2 linked regions of the Notamacropus eugenii genome follow. The protein of the gene in region 1 interacts with the protein of each later gene in a pairwise test. Links are inferred from orthologs where the notes say so. Each region holds a gene or a part of one and is shown in the gene's direction. Other genes may lie near its edges.

The links.
Region 2: the proteins of anterior gradient protein 2 homolog (region 1) and FABP2 interact in binary tests that used the Homo sapiens proteins (3 or more experiments, as listed by UniProt). The two-hybrid records come from large-scale screens. The link is inferred for Notamacropus eugenii from reciprocal best matches to the Homo sapiens genes AGR2 and FABP2.

What each region holds. Positions count from the first base shown.
Region 1 is NC_092874.1:9,748,813-9,759,333, reverse strand, and holds the start of anterior gradient protein 2 homolog, read left to right. Parts: upstream 1-6,163; 5' UTR 6,164-6,254; intron 6,255-10,521. UniProt on the Homo sapiens protein: Required for MUC2 post-transcriptional synthesis and secretion. May play a role in the production of mucus by intestinal cells. Proto-oncogene that may play a role in cell migration, cell differentiation and cell growth. Promotes cell adhesion.
Region 2 is NC_092878.1:164,759,533-164,770,210, forward strand, and holds the start of FABP2 (fatty acid-binding protein, intestinal), read left to right. Parts: upstream 1-6,767; 5' UTR 6,768-6,928; exon of another isoform or gene 6,929-7,085; intron 7,086-10,678. UniProt on the Homo sapiens protein: FABPs are thought to play a role in the intracellular transport of long-chain fatty acids and their acyl-CoA esters. FABP2 is probably involved in triglyceride-rich lipoprotein synthesis.

The sequences.
Region 1 (10,521 bases):
CATGAGCTTAATTCAGATTAGGTCAATTCAATGCAGCTGATATCAACAAGCATTTATTAAGAAGCCAATCAGTCAGTAAGCATTCATGAAGCACCTACTGTTTGGCATCATGCTAAAGATGTGGAAATACAAGGGAAGGCAAAGACAATTCCTGCTTTCATGGAAGCTCACGGTTAAGAAGACCCTGTGCATATAACTCAGTCCCAATAAGAGAAATATAGGCTAAATGGGATGAAAATAACAGGGAAAAACTAACATGAAGTTAAGGGGGAGAGTGTTTTTGTCCGTTGGTTTTGTTTTTGTTTTTGTTTTTAGAAGGCAGGATTTTAGTCAAAAAGTCAGCTGAAGTATTTACCTGGCACTGGACGAGGCACTGGAAATAGAAACCAAATGGGTCTTGCCCAGTGAACCTGACACCAAACCAGGCTGACTTTTATGTTTATGTAACACTGCTTAGCGCAGGGTCTGGAACATAGTAGACACTTAATAAATTTTTATTGACTGTTGGTCGGTGTATCAACATGTCAGGGATCTGTAAATTCACTAGGATAGGACACAGCAGGACCTTTCTATAGTACGGAATGTGAGTCTTGGAGAGGAATCTGAACCGTGGAGCAAAGGAGAACCTGGTCCATGGTTTAATAAGGGCCAGGTGGATTTGAACCCAGGACTTTCTGACTGCAGTTAAGCCTGGCATCCTATCTTTACTGCCTTTTATTAAAGAGACCTGGAATACTTCCCTCCTGTCAGAAGAGAGGTGGGGGTTGGCCAGTGCAGAATGGGGCCTGTGCTGCTTGACAAGGTCTTCCACTGAGTTTGTACAGAGAATATGGAGAGAGGTGGGTAAGGTGATAGCACCTATGGGTGAACTGGGAACAGCAGACTGTAAGCCCTCTGAGGAGGAGTCTCATTTTGGGCTGTCTTTGCCCCAGCAAAGGCATCATCATAGAGGAGATTTCTTTAGGGCCTAGGTTGGGTTTCATGGCCACCAAGGTAGCTTCCAATTTTCAATCTATAATTCTGAGAGTGTTTTGTTGCTACCTATTCTCTGCTGAAAGGGAGGATTTGTTGACATCGATAATAATAAAAAAGATGCCTGATTAGAGGCATTCCTTTGTGCGGTAGGTTCATTTTTACTCTGTGGTAAATGAAGATAAAATTGACTATCATTGATCCTATTCAAATGGGGCTTTCTTCTCTTTTATGACGTAGCACCTCCTGTCTGGCCCCCAGCTCAGGCTTTCAATCAAAAGTCTCCATTCAAGGAAGTGAGGATGTTCATTTAGACTGAGTAGGATATTCACCAGAAAAAGACTCTCCTACTACCCCAAGTATAGAAGTAAAGAAAAACTCATTGAGTTGAATAGAGGGTAACCTTTCATTCTGGGCTTCTTTATAAATAATTAATCCTAAGATCTCAGAGAATACTGTGTACGCACATGCATGCGTATCTGTGTGTATATATGTACATATGCAAATGGATATATGTGTATGTACACACAAATAAACATATACACACAAAATATACATATATAGTGTTTTATGTATATTAATTCAGAATTTTAAAATTTTTAGTAGAGTGAAATCTAGCATTTTTGAAAACTTGGCTGTTTAAGCCGAGGGGGGTCATTTTAGACAATAAAGACTTAGCTTCTTAAAGTGGAAAGACTGACAGAGTTAAAATCCCCTCTCTATCATTCACTCCCTCCGTGGCCTTGGGCAAGCACCTTGGCCTCTCTGGACCTTGGTTTCTTCATTTGTAAAATGAAAGAGTTGGTTTAGATGGTTTCTGAGGCCCCTTCCACCTCTAGATCTAAAACTCTATGGCGCTTCATCTCCATGGGCCTCAGTTTCCACACATGTAAAACGAAACCTGATGAATTTTTCTTCTGCTCTTCTTTTTATTTTTGAAAGATGGGAGCCCCAGAGAGTCAAGTGCTTAAATAATTACAAAGGCACAGCTTTCCTTATTTCTCACACTTGCCTTTGATTATTGGTGATTGGAAACAAGAAAGAAAGAATCCCAGAAGAGACCCTTGTTGCTCCAAAATTATCTAGGGAGCGATGTCTCCAACTTATAAAAAGTTTTCCACTCCCAAAAAGGGAGAAAAAATGAGGTGGAGGGCACTAAAAGTTGCCTTCTGCCATTAAACCTCTGGTCTCATGTAGACTAGCATGCTTTGGGTCATGCTCCTGGGAAATCTCAGTGGACAGTGATTCTTGTTGAGGCAGAGGTTAGACCAGATGGCCTTTGGGAGGTCACTTCCAATTCTGAAAAATTGAACACATATTTTCTGTAGATTTAAAGTTACTGTACAAAATGTAAGTCAGCAAAGTCTTATTCCTGGACCTTCCTCCCCTGGAGGAAGGATGATGGCTTCTAACAGCTGGTCCAAGGTCTTCACCCAAGGGATTCCACTTGCTCACTGTCTCCTACCCTTATGACCTCCCAAGTCAGATTCCAGCTGCTTCTTAGAACACATCTTTAGATAGTGCCCAAAGTCCAGCCAGCTAAATAACATTTATTAGCATTAAGTTGGCTCTGGAAAATGAGATATAAGCCTGGTCCATGGTAGCCCACTTCACTAGGAAGTTCAAAGCCTTCTCCCAGGAGTGTTCATTTAGAATCAAACCAAACTAGAAGTCCCTTCCACACACACACACACACACACATACATACATACATACATACATACATATATATGATGGACTGGATTTGAGGTCCTCTGAGGTGCCTTACAACTCTAGGTCCAGTTAGGAAGACCAGGGTTTGAATCACACCCAAGACACTTCGGAGGGATGGGACTCAGCAGTTAATCTTAATGAATTGGTCTCCTGCTCTGTAAAATGAGAAGACTGGACTCAATGCCTTCTGAGGTGCCCATGATCTCAAAATTTAGGATCACTTAAGCTGTCATTTTGCCAGTGCAGATAACTCCTAGTGTGAGCATTTCTGTCACTACTTCAAATCACAACTCATTCATCCATTCATTCAACACATGGGGTCACTAGCACTGCTTTGACTTAAATGGCTTTCTTTGACCACAAGTAAGGTTTCAGTGGTTGGGGGCATGGTGGGGTGGGAGGAAATGGTATAAATACAAAACACAACAATAAAACTAAAATAGACCAATAGAGGATGAGTCATTTATTCACTTTCCTTCTTGATGGAGTCTCTAGACTGGCAGGTTGCAAGCAGAACTTACCTCATTTCCAGCTTAGCTTTAGACCAAAAGCTTCTCCCTTCTTCCTGAGGAGGACATGAGGTGTGTTCTAAGTGTCCATCCTGTAGGCTGGGATGATTCAGAATTGGTTGACTGGTCTGTCCCAAAGGATACACTTGTGTGGTTTAATGTCAACTCAGAAAGAGGTCTCTAGGGAGAAGGGATTCTCTCCCAAAGGAGAGAACCCCCCAGAACCTCCATTTTGTGTCTAAATGAAGGCCATCCATCCACACCTTGCCCCTACTTGGACACATCCTCATGCCGCATCATGCTTTTAGCTCCTTTTATGTGCTCTCTTCCCCCATTAGAATATAAGCCCCTTGAGATAGGGACTCTCTTTTTGCTTTTATTTGTTTCACTACTACTTAGCACAATTCTTGATAATACAACAAGAGCTGAATAAATGCTTTGTTGAACTGATTCAAAAGTATATCATGGGAACCACAAAAGGACTCCTCTACCATTTTCTAACCCACCAGCCCCTGCCCTTCCACTCCTCCAAACTAGACCTCCAAAGCCACTCCTTTCCATTTTCTACCCAGAAAGCTGGTTAACTTTAAGGAAATCAATGGGCCTATCACCTCTGAGAAGGGCCCATCCATTGGTGGCTCCATGGCTCTCTTATCAATCTCTGAAACCTCCCAGACTCTAACTTCCTTCCCTGGCTGCCTATCTCTGACAGGTGTGAAAGGGCAGTGCTGGAGGCAGAAAAACCTGAGTTCAAATTCAGCCGCAGATACTTCCTTGACGAGATTAATAAAATTAAGTATCATAATCAAATTCATAAATAAAAATAGGAGATGGATTTATGAAGGAAAAAATAGGCAGACTCTTGGCTAGTTTGATTTGAAAAAGAGAGAAAAAAATCAAATCACTAGTACTAAAAATGAAAAAGCCAAATATACCACTAAAGAAGATGAAATTAAGGCAGTTATAAAGAGCTATTTTCCCCAATTATATGTCAATAAATTTGATATTGTAAATGAAATGGATTCTAGCCCTAACCCTAAAGAATATTTATAAAAATATAAATTGCCTAGATTGGCGGAAGAGGAAACAGAATATCTAAATAGGCCTGTTTTAGAAAAAGAAATTCAGCTTGCCATAAATGAGCTTCCTAAGAAAAAAAACACCAGGACCAAACAGATTTACAAGCAAATCCTATCAAACATTTAAAGATCAACTAATTCCAATATTAAATAAATTATTTGGCACAATAGGCAAAGAAAGTGTGTGACCAAACTCCTTTTGAGACAAATATGATACTGACATCTAAACCAGGAAGAGTAAAAGCAGAGAAAAAAAATAACAGAACAATTTCAATAACGAATACAGATGCAAAAATCCTAAATAAAATGCTCGGTAAAAGATTGGAACAATATATTACAAAGATTATACATTATGAGCAAGTGGAATTTAAGCCAGGAATGCAGGGATGGTTTAACATAAGGAAAATTATTAACTTAATTGATTATATTAATAATAAAAGTTTAAATAGTCTCCTAGCATTTATAAAGCATTTTGTTTGCAAAGAATTTTACAATAACCCTGGGAGGTGAGAACTATAGTTATACCTATTTTACAGATAAGGAAACTGAGGCAAAGATATCAAGCAACTTGCCTGGGGTCACACACATCATAAGCAGACCCAAGGTCAGAACTGAACTCCATACTTCATGACTCCAGGGCCAATGCTCTATCCACTGAGCTACTCAGCACCCCTGGTAATATTTGACACTCAGATATTTGCAGAATAGCAGTCATTTCTAGAGGCTAGAGAACTAACACCTGGGAGCTCAGGAAGGGTATCACATGGAAAACTGCACCTGAATTGTACATAGAAGGGAGTGAGAGACTAAAAGAGGCAGAGGTGAGGAAAGCAACACACCCTGGCAGGGGGCACAGCCTGTGGAAAGGCTCATAGGTGGGATATGCAATGTTTCATGCAGCAAATCACTAGTAGCCAATTTAAGTAGAGCAGAGGATAAGTGAAGAAACATCATCTGAAAGGGACTTTCTTGAGCTTAAATCCAGCCTCAGACACTTACTAGCTATGTGACCCTAGGCAAATCACTTAACCTGCTTGCCTCAATTTCCTCATCTGCAAAATGGGCTGGAGAAGGAAATGATAATTCACTCCAGTATCTCTGCCAAGAAAACCCAGATGGGGTCATGAAGGGTATGAAACAACTGAACCACAACAATAAATCAATTCAATCCCATCCAGACGAGAAATGGTTAGAGATTGCTTCAGCAAGGCAGGGACTGTGTAAGTACAGAGACTGGGGTGGCGAAATTTGGTGCAAGGGACGTTGTGAAGGGCAAATTGATGATCTGGTGAACATGCAATAAGCAACGGAAAAGTAAAACACTTTTAGAAACTTCTCAATAACAGAGTCACCTCCTAAGTTCAGCCTTTGGCTGAGTTTTCCCAGTATCCAGTTTTTGGATCACAAGTTTCAGCTGCCAGAGAAAAGGTCTGGGATGGGAAATGATTTCTTTGTACAGGATTGGTTGCCTAAGGCTACATCAGCATAGCAAGAACCTCTGAATCACTTGGTCCAGTTTTTTTTCAATTCAACAAAAGAAATCTCCAAAAGGGGAGGGAAAAAAAAGCCACAAACCCCAGCAGTGTCCTCCAGTCCCCAAAGTCTATCCAATCACATCAAGACAAATCAGCCTTCAGACAAATCCACAGTTTTGATTTAAGCTTACCTGGACTTGGCCATGTGCCCAGGTCCTCAAAACCCCCATCAAATGCCCATGCATGGATATTTTTAAATGTGCATAAACTAAACAATTGTTTTCTTTGTGGGTTATTAAAGAGGGGGGAGTCTGTTAGCCAAGGACAGTTCGATCTTTGGGGGCAAAGAGTAGCTGATTTCCTGGTTAGCTATACGTAAATGCTAGGCTGGTGGGTGGGATCGGGTGTGCTCAGGTGCATAAATAGAGACTCTCAGCACACCTACACTCAGAACTTTGGAACAGGTTCCTGGCTCTTCTAGCAAGTGCACGTGGGAGGGGCAGCAGGTAAGCCTCCTGTTCTTGCTTTCCTATAGATAGAGATGTGCACCTGGCAGGAAGGGAGATTCCTGGGAGAAGCTGGAGGCAGTAAACAGGCAGTGCAGATCCAGGCTGTGTCCAGGACGATGGTCCTTGGATTGTGCTACTGGGGTCATGGAAATGACTAGGACCCTTCTGAGCAGCGGAGGATTTGGTTGAGGCTACCATCTCCAGACACAGAAAGGATGCTACCAGTCACTTTCTTCAGTTGGCTGAACCAAAACATCCCAGTTCTCCAGAAGAATCTTTGATGCCAGACGATTTTCCATGTGTAAAAGGGCTAAATGCTAGAATTTCACTTTCATTAATCCTTTGCTTTTTAAATTTCATTTATTTGATTACAAAATCAATGCTGATAAACAAAGACAATCTGGCTTCTGCTCTGGTCAGGCAAGCTTGAGTGTGGTTTTGTGCCCAATTTAGGACACATGATTTCTACCTGTATATTGCAAATAGACATTCTTATTGCCCACTTCCTCTGCTGTGATAGTAACACCAGGCATTTTGTCAGGCTCTGGCACAGTTAAGTTGGAAGGGGTGAAGCAGGTGAGGGTCCTGGAGGGCACCAAAGTGTTAGCAGAAATGCTTGCCAAGCACCCCTCCCAAGAACATGAGGACAATGGTGGCCTGCTGGCTCTTAAGGAGTCTTCATCCCTACTCTGGGAGTGTGCACGCGTACATAGCAACGGATGAATGTGACCCAACAAAGCAATATTTTTATAAGGTGGTGACCACTTATAAAAACGCCTTTGCAGGAAGCTTGCCAAGCACAGTTCTTTTGGATTTGAAGGGATCTTGACATTGTAGAGCTCAGGAAGTGTCTTTGAAAGAGGAAGTGTACCCAGAGAATTCAGTTAGATCCCAAACATTCAGTTTTAGTTTTTGTTATCACCTTCATCAGGGGCAGCTGGGTATCACAGTGGATAGAGTGCCAGGACTGGAGTTAGGAAGACTCATCTTCCTGAAATCAAATCTGGCCCCAGACACTTGGTAGCTGTGTGACCCTGGACATGTCACTCCTGAACTGGAGAAGGAAATGATAAACCATTCCAGAGTCTCTGGCAAGAAAACCCCAAATGGGGTCGGAACAGTCAGGCAAGAACGTAAAATGACTAAACACCATCACTATCACCCAGCACAGTGCCTAGAACACAGCAGGTGCCTCACAAGTGCTTATCCAGCGTACTTCTCTGAGCGAACCTTCCTGAAAGGAAGACGGAACGAGGATTTACTATGTGCCAACCACTTTGCTAAGCATTCTATCAATATTATCCTCTGACCCTCACAGCAACCCTGGGAGGTGGGTGCTGTTATTATCCCCATTTAGCGGTTGAAGAAACTGAGGCAAACAGCAGTTAAGTACTTTGTCCAAGGTCACATAACTGTAAGTGTCTGAGGCCAGAGTTGAACTTAGGTCTTCCTCCAGGCCCAGCCCTCTATCAGCTTCCCCAAGTCACAGCCCCCAGAAGGTAAATAGAACGTAGGAGCTTGAGCATCTTGGTGAGGCGAAGGGAAAGAGATCTCTGAGAGCTCTTTGTCTGTTCAGGAATTAGGGAATATGGCTTTCCTTTTCTTTTTCTTTCTTTCTTTCTTTCTTTCTTTCTTTCTTTCTTTCTTTCTTTCTTTCTTTCTTTCTTTCTTTCTTTCTTTCTCTCTTTATTTCTTTCTCTCTTTCTCTCTCTCTTCCTCTCTCTCTTTCTCTCTCTCTTTCTTTCTTTCTCTCTTTCTTTCTCTCTTTCTCTCTTTCTTTCTCTCTCTCTCTCTTTCTCTCTTTCTCTCTTTCTTTCTTTCTTTGTTTCTTTCTTTCCTTGTTTCTTTCTTTCCTTCTTTCCTTCTTTCTTTCTTTCTTTCTTTCTTTCTCTCTTTTTTTCTTTCTCTCTTCCTCTCTTTCTTTCTTTCTCTCTTTCTTTCTTTCTCTCTTTCTTTCTTTCTCTCTTTCTCTCTTTCTCTCTTTCTCTCTTTCTCTCTTTCTTTCTTTCTCTCTTTCTTTCTTTCTTTCTTTCTTTCTTTCTTTCTTTCTTTCTTTCTTTCTTTCTTTCTTTCTTTCTTTCTTTCCTTCTTTCTTTCTTTCTCTCTTTTTTCCTGTGTAAGTAAAAAAGCATCCTGTGGTGCTTGGAATTGAAAACAATTGACCACTGAAGAGGAGAGGAGGGGAAAATGCATCTCTCCCTTCTTTGCAAAGGTTGGAGACAATGGGTGTGGTCCACTGCATACATGCCCAGAGGCCATTGATGCATTTCCCAATTTTCTTTTGCTTTCTTCTATCCCTTTTTTCTATTCTTTGCTATCAGAGGTGGCACTTTTAGAAGGGGGAAGGATAGTGATATATTTGGAAATTAAATGGTGTAAAAACAATCCTACATTTTCAGAAAAGAAAACAATGGTGAATTTAAGAACGGTATGTGATTATCTGAAATCAGAAACGAGCAGGAGATCATTCTATCAGCTGGTGCTGCACCAAGATTCATGTTCCAAATAATGACTCTCACAAGCTCTGCCATCTGCCATCTTTTGGCAGTGCAATTAATTCTGTATGCATTTGATCAAGTTCAAAATTATATCCACCTGAGAATTATAAGCTTCATGTGGGAAAGGTACTATGTTCTTCAGAGACAAGGGCTGGACTCAGGCTCAGGGGCCCTGAGTTTGAATTCCATCTGAGGAATTCTATGCACTAGCTGTGAGACCCTGGGCAAGTCACTTAGCCCCAGGGGATCAGTTTCCTTATCTGTAAAATGGAGATAATGATATTCATAGTACCTACTTCACAGGGTTTATTGAGCAAACTTTAAAGGGTCATTGAGGGGGCACTATGAGATCAATGTTTGACCAGATCTCTGAGGCTTCCAGAAGAGCAGACTTACCCCCGATCCTTCACCAACTCACTCGTCCACCTTCCCTTACCATTCATTTGACTCTGATGTTCTAGAGTAAGGAGCCCAGCATTTCCTATAAGCAAGGTTTGGAATATTCTAGACTATAGTTAAGAAAGCTGTATTAATGCTGGTCCTATAAGGCACAGGAACACACAGAGAGTCTTAGCATTTCAGAATCAGAAGAGACCTTTTTGGGTTGTATCATCTCCATGAAGAGTAGAAATAGACTGGGCCACCTCCTTTGAGAAACCTCTCCTTCCAAGTGCCCTTCTCTCTCTCTGTCTCTCTCTGTCTCTCAGTGTCTCTGTTTCTGTCTCTCTCTGTCTCTCTCCCCCTCAATTATTTTTGTACTCTATTTGTGTGTGTGCATGTTCTGCCCCCTCATAAAAGATAAGCTCCTTGGGATCAGGAATGGTTTTGGGGGCTCCCATATTCCCAGAACCTCGTAGAAGTGTTTTGTCCATATTTGTTGATTTTAAAAACACGTTTCTGAGTTGAATAGGATGGAAGTAATACAATTGTCTGTCTCTAAATGAAACATCTGCCGCCTTTCCGTTCCTAACACTGATGCTTTGCTTTTGGATAAAGCTCCTTCATTTATCCCCAGTAGTGGCTTTCACCAAAAACAAAGAGGAATAAAAGAAAATGAAGAAGATTATGAGAATGACGGAGGTGATAACAAAGATAATACTGGATGTATTAATGACAATGATGATGGGTGGAGATGATGTGGAGGGGGATGCTTCTGATGGTGATGGTCATGAGGATGGTGGGGGCCTCTAATGGTGTTGATGGGGGCAATGATGATGATAATGATGGCAATGAGAAGGAAAGAGAAGGAAGAGAAAGAAGAGGAAAAAGAGGATGCTTGTGACAATCCTGGTGGGATTTTTATGGTGTTGATAGGGATGACAATGGCAACAAGGAAGATGGTGGTGATGATGGTAAAGGCCATGACAATAGGATAACAACTGTGATGATGGTAATGGCAATATTGATGATAATGAGGAGTATGTGTTTCTGATGATGCTGCTGCTGATGGAGATGGTGGCAGTGATTACCCAAGTAATGGTGATCATGACTCATGCCAACAGATGCTTTAATGGAATTGTGGGAAGCACTTTCCTCATAACAACTATTGAAGTAATTAATTTGGGAATTATTATCCCTGTATTACAGATGAGGAAACTGAGGCCCAGCAAGGTGAACTGACCTGTCTTATGATCACACAGCCATAGAGCAGAAGAAGAGGGGAGAGGTTCCAGATTATTATCATAGAGTAGAATCATTGGTATATTTTTAAAAGATTATTGAAATCAAACTGAGTACCCTGTTGAGACCCGTGATCAGAGACCACA
Region 2 (10,678 bases), on another chromosome or scaffold:
GATTTTTTGTCATTATTTCCTAGAATTCAGTTTCCCAGGCTCATGTTAAATTGTAGACATCTGAAGCATCAATCTCCTTTGAATCCTGGTAATTCACAGCTATAGCACATCAGGTGCTGAGCCACATAGGTTTTGGTGCCTTCGGGCTCTACACTTATTAGTCAAAAGTGTATGTGTGTGTGTGTGTGTGTGTGTGTGTGTGTGTGTGTGTGTGTGTATGTGTGTATGTGTGTATGTGTGTGAGTATGTGTGTGTGTGTGTGTATGTGTGTGTATGTGTGCATGTATTCTGAGAGATTGATATTGCCTTGGGACATGCTCATGGGAAGAATACTTTCCGAGCCCTTTTGGATTTCTCAGACTAAGAACTCTGAATAGCCATTGTCAAGGGGCCCCCTGCATGGGAACCAGAAAGATGTTGGTGCTTCCTAGTCTGGTGATGTATTTTCTCCACTTTTGGGTGATGACCCTTTCCCCTGTACAAGCGTATGATGTCAGTAGAGAGAGGAGACCTCTAAGAAAGAAAGAAGATCACTGAGAGAGAAGCTATGGTAGCCTGTATAGTAGTTTGGTTAATGTTAACTATTGTGAGAAAAAGTACTGAAAAGCTGTTGCTGGTGGAAGTCCAGTTTGGGAAAGCTCCTGTAGAGATAACAAAGGAATAAGAGGAGTTTCTTTTGACTTCTCAGAGCCAAGGTCATGGCCATGATCAGGGCTCAAGTGGAGTAGCCCTGCCCCAGACTGTGCTGGAGGGTGGAGGCCTTGGAACTGTGCTAGGCACAGAACCCAGACCAAAGTGGCCCCTCCCTATGTGAGGCTGAGGGAGGATGAGCTGCTCTGGAGTTTGAGTTGTATAAGCCAGAGACAGAAGCTGGGGACAAGGGCCCCTGGAGACTGCTGTTTCTGGAGCCATGTAAAATCAGGGAGAGCTTGGAATGGAGCAGTCTATTCCTCCATGAGATGAGACATGGAACAGGAGCAGAGACTTGCCTGTGTTAGCACCCAGACCTGCAGGAGAAAGAACCACAGAACTTGGAACTCAGCCCCCACCCCAGGTCAAGATGGAAACTTTGCAGCAAGGCAGGAGCAGTGAGCATGCTTCCCTGCTACATCCCTCAGGGATGGGTTGGGACCCAGGGGGTAGAGTTGTCTATGGGGGGGGGGGGGGATGGGGAAAGTATTACAACCCCTGGGGACCCAACCTATTGGCTTTGTCACCCAACTGTCCCTCAGTACTCGGAAGTGGGGGCTGGAGCAGTATTAGGACTTGGACTCTGGCTCATGACAGCATATGTACCCAAGAGTGCCAGGTAGGAGCCTGCAACGGCAGTGTGGAGAAAAGAATACACTCCCAAGAGGACTTTACTTGTCCACTCTGTTTGGATTGAGGGGACTGTAACCTACTGTGACTTAGGGGTGGGGTGTGTTGTGTTCTCTGCTACCCCTGGGAGGGTGCTGTGCTAGGAAAGACGCTGGCCTGGGACCCCTCGCTGTATAAACAGTATTTTGGGACAGTACCTGAGTGAGGAGGAGCTGGTCGCTCAAGCCCCACAGATTCTGGCCTCCAAAGAAGGTAGAAGGTGGGGGTGGGCTACGTCATGTTATACACTGAGTGATAGGTTTTGTTCTAGGCCGTGTGGCCGTTCTGGCGATATGTGCACTGCTGCAGTTTATATTGCTACTGCCGCGTTGACATGAATTGTGAATGCCTTAATTCCTTGAATAAGGTTTAGTTTTGAATAATAGAGCACTTATTATATTCATACAATTCCATCCTAAACATACATATGTATTTGTATAGATATACACATATGTGTGAATGCGTATATACATACACACTTCTATACATACACACGTATATACATACACACGTATATACATACACACGTATTTACATACACACGTATATACATACACACGTATATACATACACACGTATTTACATACACACGTATATACATACACACGTATATACATACACACGTATATACATACACACGTATTTACATACACACATATATACATACACACATATATACATACACACATATATACATACATATATATATATGTGTGTAGATATATACAGATAGATATAGATATAGATATAGATTCACAGTAGCAGCCCTCAAGTGTGCCGTGGTGATTGGCGTTGCACCTGCTTACGTTGCTATAGGCTTCAGACTGGACTGGAAGCTGGAACTGAGACCCTGCTCTGCTCTTGGAGTTAGAGTTACAGAGGTACTGTTTTCTTCTGAACTGGTTCCTGTCTCAGTACATAGCCCATGAACATGCCTAACCTGGGAACTAGAGGGCTCCTCACTCTGGAACCTCACCCATAGAGCTCTCTACCTCTATAGTCACTCCTTAGACTGTCCTGGATCTGTGACCCCAAAGTGGGTTACAGTGAAGGGCGGAGCTGCCAGTTCACAAGTATCTACATCCTATATGGGTCTAGGACCTCTTCTTGCCCTGGTGCAAAGCTTGTCTTCTTTCAGTTACTGTGCGCCCCCAAAGTCCACAGACATCTTTGTCTATATTCCTGTGTGGATCTGAGATGGAAACATGACTCACTGTAATTTTTCTTGGATTTCCTGATCATTGCTCAGTCTACCATGTTTTCTAGAGCTTTTGAAGGAAATTTATCAGGAGTTTGGCTCTACTTTTCCCTGCCTTCCCACCACACTGGTTCCACCTCTGAGGCAGATTTTTCAAAGGTCCCAAGGTCATCGTAATTCTGTCCTTGGCAGTGTAGTTATGAAATACAAGTGGTGCAGGATAACAAGGGGTTCAGCAGATGGCATCCCAGCTCCTGTGCCAGGAGAGATCTCTGCCCTGAGTGCCCCTGTGCCTTCATGCCACTATGAATGGGACAAAGGGAAATACAAGAAGAAGGTCAGCTACAGATGTTTATGTAACTGGAGATGTTCATGGAAAATAATATGAAATCAGTCAGGTGCAGTCTTTAACAGAATAAAAAGTCATGGTTAGGAATGGTTCTGTCCCATACATCTGAACTAATGGGCTAGAACAGTCGGCTCTTCCCGTCTTTTGTCTCTCCCACTGTGGCAGCCATCTGGGTGCCTACAATAAAACAGATCCATAAGCTTATGTGTCCCCTTTGCCTCTCTACCTTTCACCTCCCATGTTCTCCCTTAGAAGCTTTGCTCAGATGAAGGGAACTGCTGATATTGCTACCACCAGTCACTGCTGTTGTGCTGATGCTCCGTGTGTTGGAAGAAGACCCACCACCTCCCTCTTTGCACCTCTTGCTCCCAAAATGACATCTTTTAAAAATGGATCTCTATTGAGATTTTCTAAGAATTCCAAGCAACTGCAGGGAGAAAAAAAACTCACCCTCCAGGCTTAGTTCTCGTTAGTCTCATCTTTTCCCAGGCTGGGAGGAAACCCAACTCCCAGACTTGTTGCAGCTTCATAAGCCTTGCTAAGATGGCTGTTACATCAGGAACACACTCTGCTCATTTCTGCCAGTGCCTTCTCTGTTCATGTCAGGAACCACCTGCTCAAAGACATTTTTGACCTTTAAAACTCTCCACAATTGGGGCTCTTACCAGCTTTGCTAGACGTGCAGCACATTCTTTTACAGTCATGATGACCTGCTAAGTGTTCCATGGATAGGACACGCCACCTCCTGGTGGCAAATTGCCTTCCTCTGTGTGATTGCCATGCCCCTCTCCCTTCTAAAAATAACCTTGTATTTATTTAGTATAGATTTTTGATTTCCTTATCTGTGTGCATGACGTACTCTAGGGATATACGTCTCTTGAGAGCAAGGATTGTTTTGTCTTTGTATGCTCTGTACCTAGGATCTAAACAGAGTACTGCTTAATAAATATTTGATGAATTAAAATAATTGATTTAAGCCAAAATGAATTGTTAATATTCTCTCCCTCTGCTCACCCTTACATTTTCCCAAAATGCTTTGGATCTCTCCTTTGTTCTCATCACACCCTCCTTTGCAAATATATTTGTGTATAGGTTGGATCTAACCTGCCTGTTAGGGAAGAGACTGTGTTTTTAATCTCTGAATCTTCATTCCTCTGAGTACAGGGCCTAGGACAAAACAAGTACTTGACATCTATCTACCTATCTATCTATCTGTCTGTCTGTCTATATCTAAATCTGTCTATGGATATCTATAGAAACTCATATCTATTTGTGTGTGTTTATTATGTATGTATCTAAAGTCATGCTGGATCTGGAGACAGAGAAAGTGGTTTCAAACCCTGTCTCTCCAACTTAATACATGTATGACCTTAGGTAAGTCATTTCACTTACCTGAGTTTCAATTTCCTCAACTGTAAAATGAGGGAGTTAGATTGGATGACCTCTCTGGTGCCTTGCAGTCCTCACACTGTGATCTAATTTGTTTCCATTTTTTTTGGAATAAAAGGAAAAGAATGACAGGAAGATAGAGGAGGAAGAATGTGGGAGTTACTCACTAGCCATCAGCCCAGATTCAAGGCCACATGCTCTTAGCTGTAGACAATGTTCTTGTTCTTTTCAAATACTTTGGCCAGAAACAAAGGGAAAACTTTCCCCATGACTGTGGAAAATAGAGCCCGCTGTTATTTCATAAGACTTCCTGAAAATCAAGCACTTCAATTAATATGAGAAAGGAAACTGAGAGTGGATATATAGAGGAAGATGAGCACAGGTAATACTTGTGTGCTTTTTTCCCCTGCTCTTTTTCACATGATACATGTGTAGTCACACAAAACATTTTCATATTAGTCATGTTGTGAAAGAAATCAGAGGAAAAAACTCAAGAAAGAAAGAAAGTTTAAAAAAGTCTGCTTCAGTCTGTTTTCAGACTCCCTAAGTTCTTTCCCCAGGGATGGAGCGCATTGTTCATCCTAGGGTCTTTAGGGTTGTCTGCATCTTTGTATCGCTGACAACAGCCAACTCATTCTCAGCTGATTATCTTACAATATTGCTGTTACTTTGTACACAGCACATTTACATTTTACTCTGCATCAGCTCTTGTAAGGCTTTCCAGGTTTTTCTGAGAGCCTCTTGCTCATCATTTCTTATTACAAAATAGTATTCCGTGCAATTTGTTCAGTCATCCCCAAAACGATGGGCATCTCAGTTTCCAATTCCTTGCCACCAGAAAAGAACAGTTGTAAATACTTTCATACATACAGGTCCTTTCCTTTTTTTTTTTTTAAATCTCTTTTGGGATATAGACCTAACAGTGGTATTGCTCAGTCAAAAGGTATGGAGGCTTTTGTGGCCCTTTGGACATAGTTACAAATTGCTCTACAGAATGGTTGAATCATTTCACAATTCCACCAACAATGCATAACGTATCATTTTTCCCAGCTCCCCTCCAACATTGATCATTTTCCTTTGCTATCCTATTAGACAATCTAATAAGTATGAGGGAGTACCACAGAATTGTTCTAATTTGCATTTCTCCAATCAATAATGAGTTAGAGCATTTTTTTCATAGGGCTATAGATAGCTTTGATTACTTCATCTGAAAACTGTTCATATTTTTTGATCTTTTATCAACTGGGAATGGCTCTTATTTTTATGAATTTGACTCAGTTCTCTATATGTTTGAGAAATGAGGCCTTTATTAAAGAAACTTGCTTCAAATTTTTTTTCACATTTACTATTGTTGACTGTATTTCCCTCCATCCTATTTGACACCCATCCCCCTGTTATTCTGTCTCTCATTTCTCCCTGTCCATTCTCAAAGATGTTTTGCTTCTGATGACCCCTTCCCTCAACCTGCCCTCCCTTCTGTCACTGCCCCCCCTTCTCTTATCCCTTTCCCCTCCTGCTTTCCTGTAGGGTAAGATGCATTTCTATACCCAATTAAGTGTGTATGTTATTCCCTCTTTGAGCCAATGCTGCTCAATATTCACTCACTCCCCTGTATCTCCCCCATCTTATCCTCCACTGTAAAAGCTTTTTTACCTCTTTTTTGTGAGATAATTTACCTTACTTTATTTGTCCCTTTCCCTTTCTCCCAGCACATTCCTCTCTCACTCTTATTTTTTCTGAGATGTCATCCCTTCATATTCAATTCACACCTCTGCCCTCTATATATAGTCCTTCTAACTGCCCTAATAATGAAAAAGTTCTTATGAATTACAAGCAACACTTCCCATGTATGAATGTAAACAATTTAACTTTATTAAGACCCTTATGATTTCCCTTTCCTCTTTACATTTTTATGCTTCTTTTTAATAAAATTTTCCTACTCAGCTCTAGTATTTTCATCAAGAATGCTTGAAAATCCTCTATTTCATTAAATATCCATTTTCCCCTCTGAAGGATTATACTCAGTTTTGCTGGGTAAGTGATTCTTGGTTGGAATCCTAGTTCCTCTACCCTCTGGCATATCATATTCCAAGCCCTCCCATTCTTTAATGGAAAAATTGCTAAATCTTGTGTTATCCTGACTGTGGCTCCATGATACTTGAATTATTTCTTTCTGGCTACCTTCAAGATTCTCTCCTTGGCCTAGGAGCTCTGGAATTTGGCTATAACATTCCTGGGAATCTTCATTTGGAGATCTCTTTCAGAAGATGATTGGTGGATTCTTTGAATTTCTATTTTACCCTGCTATGGTATGATCTAAAGAGAAGTACGTTTACTCTTCTCCTAGCCTGTGCTCTGTTCTGTGAGTGACCACAAGCGCTCTTTTCTGCCCTAGAAAGGCAAGGGCTCCTGCTCCACTGCAGCTGCAACAAGACCACTGCAATCTCTTTCTGACTGGTTGTTCAGCCCCATTACCGTCTGTGGGCTGAGAGCTCCGGAAGCAGCTGCTGCTGATTCAGTGGCTCCCAATCCCTACTTCTGGTTTACTGAGGCCTGGTCAGCGCTGCACTCCCTTTGAGGCACAAGCATAGAAGAGAAGGGAAGAATATGCATCTGGAAGGAGCTAAGTAAGGGTGAGAGCCCTGGCACAACAGATCTTTTCTGTTGAAGTTCCATGTTGTCTTTGGCTGGAACATTCTTCCACCCCACCCTTTGGAGGCTTCTGCCTCTTCAGGAACTGTCCCTTGGCATTATTTAAAGGCATTCAGAGGGGTTTGGGCAAGAGTTCAGGTAAGCTGCTGCCTTTTCTCCACCATCTTGGCTGTACTTCCAAATTTAATGATTTTTAATTGTCTCTACTCATCCTGTTTTCCAGGTCAGTTTTTTTGTAGTAGATATCTTATTTGTCCCTTTCATTTCTCAGTCTTTTGGCTATTGTTATATTTCTTCTTATTACTCCATTGAATTGCTGAGTTTGTTAGTTCTATAATATTGCATTTTTTCAGGGTGCTTTTCCTCTCAAAGTCTCATTTGAGTAAAGTTATTTACTTTGTGATCTAAGCTGCTAATATTCTAATGATTGGAATATTTTTGAGTTTAATGGTTTGTCACTGACTTCTGCAGAGGGTTTTAAGTGAAGGGCTGAAGATACATTTTCTTTCAGAGGCAATAGGGAGCCATGGAAGAGTTCTGAATAGCGTGCCAAGTCTGGAGTCAGGAAGACCTGAGTTCAAATCTGGCCTCAGACACTCACTAGCTGTGTGACCCTGGGCAAGTCACTTAACTTTGTTTGCCTCTGTTTCCTCAATTGTAAAATGAGCTAGAGAGGGAAATGGCAAACCACTCAAGTATCTTTGCCAAGAAAACCCCAAACGAGGTCATGAAGAGTTGGGCACAACTGAACACCAAATTTGTGTTTTAGGAATATCAGTTTGGCAGTTTTGTCAAGGGGGAGAAAGACTCAGAATAGGAGAATGGATTACGAGGGGTGAAAAGACTCAAATAGGGAGGCTAATTTGAATGTGAATAAATGGTTGGATTGTGTGTGCTTTGTCCTTCATTCTCCAAGAGATGATGACATGCCTTTCAATTGACTGATTTGAGTGAGGCAGAGAACTGTGCAAGGTTACCAACCTCACTTTCTTCTCCAGAGCCATTAGGGTCCAGTGGCCTGATATACATCAGGATGACTGGAGATAGCCCAGGATGCAATGGGAGACAGATAAACTAAGAATTAGAGTTTATTTAGATTGCACTTTGTATCTGCTAGCAGAAGGATGATCACTATCTCACAGTTGGTTTGTTTCTCTTTCTTATCTGCAAAGATTTCAGTAGATTCAAGAGCAATCAAATTTTATAATCATCCTTCCAGTCAGTACCAGCCCATCCCAGAAGGTCAGTGCCCTGTGGGAAGAAATGGCAGCAACTGAAAAAAGGCAAAGGGAATCTGTTGGAATGTGGACTAAGAAGGGCAAACTCGAAATCTTTGAAGTGTTTTCTATTTGCTAATAACCCCCCTCTTCTCCCTCCCCCCCACTTAATCCCAGACTCAGAGCAGGGCAGAATGAGAAAGGACTTGGCATCTGTTTTCACTAAGGATCCTGATCATACCAAGAACCTATTGTTAAATTTTTAGTGTGAGCATCTACACTACATAAATTAGCAAACTACAAATCAGGGTTTGATGTATAGTTTTATTAACTGTCTAGGGTTAAGAAAATGATTGAGAAAAATATTCATAATGCAATTCAAACCTAGTTGTTAGACTAGGTTTGATAGACTTAGCTCTTCTCTGCAATATAATGACCCAAGACAACTCCAAAAGGCTCATGATGGAGAATGCTGTCCACATCCAGAGAAAGAATTACAAAGTCTTAATCCACATGGAAACATACCATTTGTTCTCCGTTTTTGTTGTTTATTTCTTCTTTTTTGTGGTTTCTTCCATTGATTCTAATTCTTCTTTACAACATGACAAATGTGAAAATATATTTAATATGAATGTACATTGTAATCTATATCAGATCAAATGCCATCTTGGGGAGGGGGGAAGGAAAGAAAGGGGAGAAAATTTAAAATTCAAAATCTTATGGAAGTGAATGTTGAAAACTAAAAATAAATAAATTATTTTTAAAAGAAAAAATAAAACAGCTTTTTTAAAAAGAAATTGTGCTGGGAGAGGATTTGGGGAAGATGGTGGAGGAAGTCAGAAAACTTTCGGTTCTCCAAATTTCCTCCACAGAAAAAGACACTTCCTCAGAGGGAATTCTGCTGCAAAGGAGCAGAATTTTTTTAAAAAGGTCAGAGTAAAGCAGTTGTTCTCCTAAGAAAACCTAAGAAGACCCCAGGAAAAGACCTAGCTTCCAGAACAGAGGTCAGCCTGGGTGAAGTGCAAACACCTCTAGGTCAACTCTGCAGAATCAACAAACTACAAGTCCTGGGGGCAGCTGAGGTTTCCAGGCAGCCCCAGTCTTAGAAACTTTCATCTCAGGTCTGATGGCTGAGTAAGAGAAGTTTGAAGGACCTTCCACTGTTGAGCAACACCAAGTGCCGCTGTGCTGACCAGACACGTCTTGGACTATGGTTGTGGGGAGAAGGAGCTAACATACACTGGGTGAGTGCAGTAGCAGTGCTGACTGTGGGTACCAGAGGACCTGGTTTTAGTTCCAGGTAAGAGAGGACAACTACAGTTTGCAGCCACTGGAGGGACCACAGGGAGTAAGATCATTTGTAGGACACTGTGATGGGGGCTCTCACAGTGGTTTGGGAGTGAAGAGGAGAGCCCAAAGTTGAGAGACCTCAGAAAAGAGCAATAATAAGGACCTGAGGCTTAGGGTATTATTACCCATACCTTAGGACTAGAACTCTATTAGTTCACTCAGTTGCTAGAAACAAACAAATAAAATGAATAAAAATGAGCAAACTAATGATCAAGAACCCAAACATGGGTAACTACTATGGGAATAGAGAAGATATGTGTTCACATTCAGAGGAAGATAATGGAGCTAAAAAATCCACTCCTTTTTCAATGAAAAACATCAAATGATCCCAAGCACAAAAAGATTTCTTAGCTTTTAGAAGGGACTTTAAAAATCAAATAAGAGAGATGGAAGAAAATTTTGAAGAAAAAAAAAATAAGGACCATCCAAGAAAATCAAGAAAATTTTGAAAAGAAAGTCAACCAATTTGAAATAGAGAATCAAAAATCAAGGAAAAAATATTTCCTTGAAAACTGGAATAGGGCAAAGTGAAACTAATGGCATTCTAAGATATACAGAAATAATAAAACAAGATCAAAAGAATGAAAAATAGAAGAAAATGTGAAACATCTCTTCAGAAAAACAACTTATCTAGAGACTAGATTGAGGAGAAATAATATAAAAATACAGACTTCCTGAAAATTATAACTAAAAAAGAATATTGATACAATATTACAAGAAATGATCAAGAAAAATTGCCCTGAAGTTCAAGAACAGGATGGCAAAACAGAAATAGAAAATAACCCACCCATCACCACCTGAAAAAGATTCCAAGAGGAAAACTTACCAGAATATCATAGTCACATTTCAAAGTTTCAGGTTAAGCAAAAAATATTGGAAGGAACAAGAATAAAACAATTGAAATATCATGAAGCTGCAATAAGGATTACACAAGTCCTCGTAGCTATGATGTTGAAGGACTATAGACCTTAGAATACTTTATTTTGCCGAACAAAAGAGCTGGGATTGCAATCAAGGGTAACTTACTTACCCAGTGAAGGCAAGTATCATCCTCAATGGGGGGGACTTTCAGATATTTGTGACAAAAACAGAACTAACAGGAGAAATGTAAAGTAAACATTAACTATCAATTACATGGGACTCAAGCGAAATTGTACACTTCTT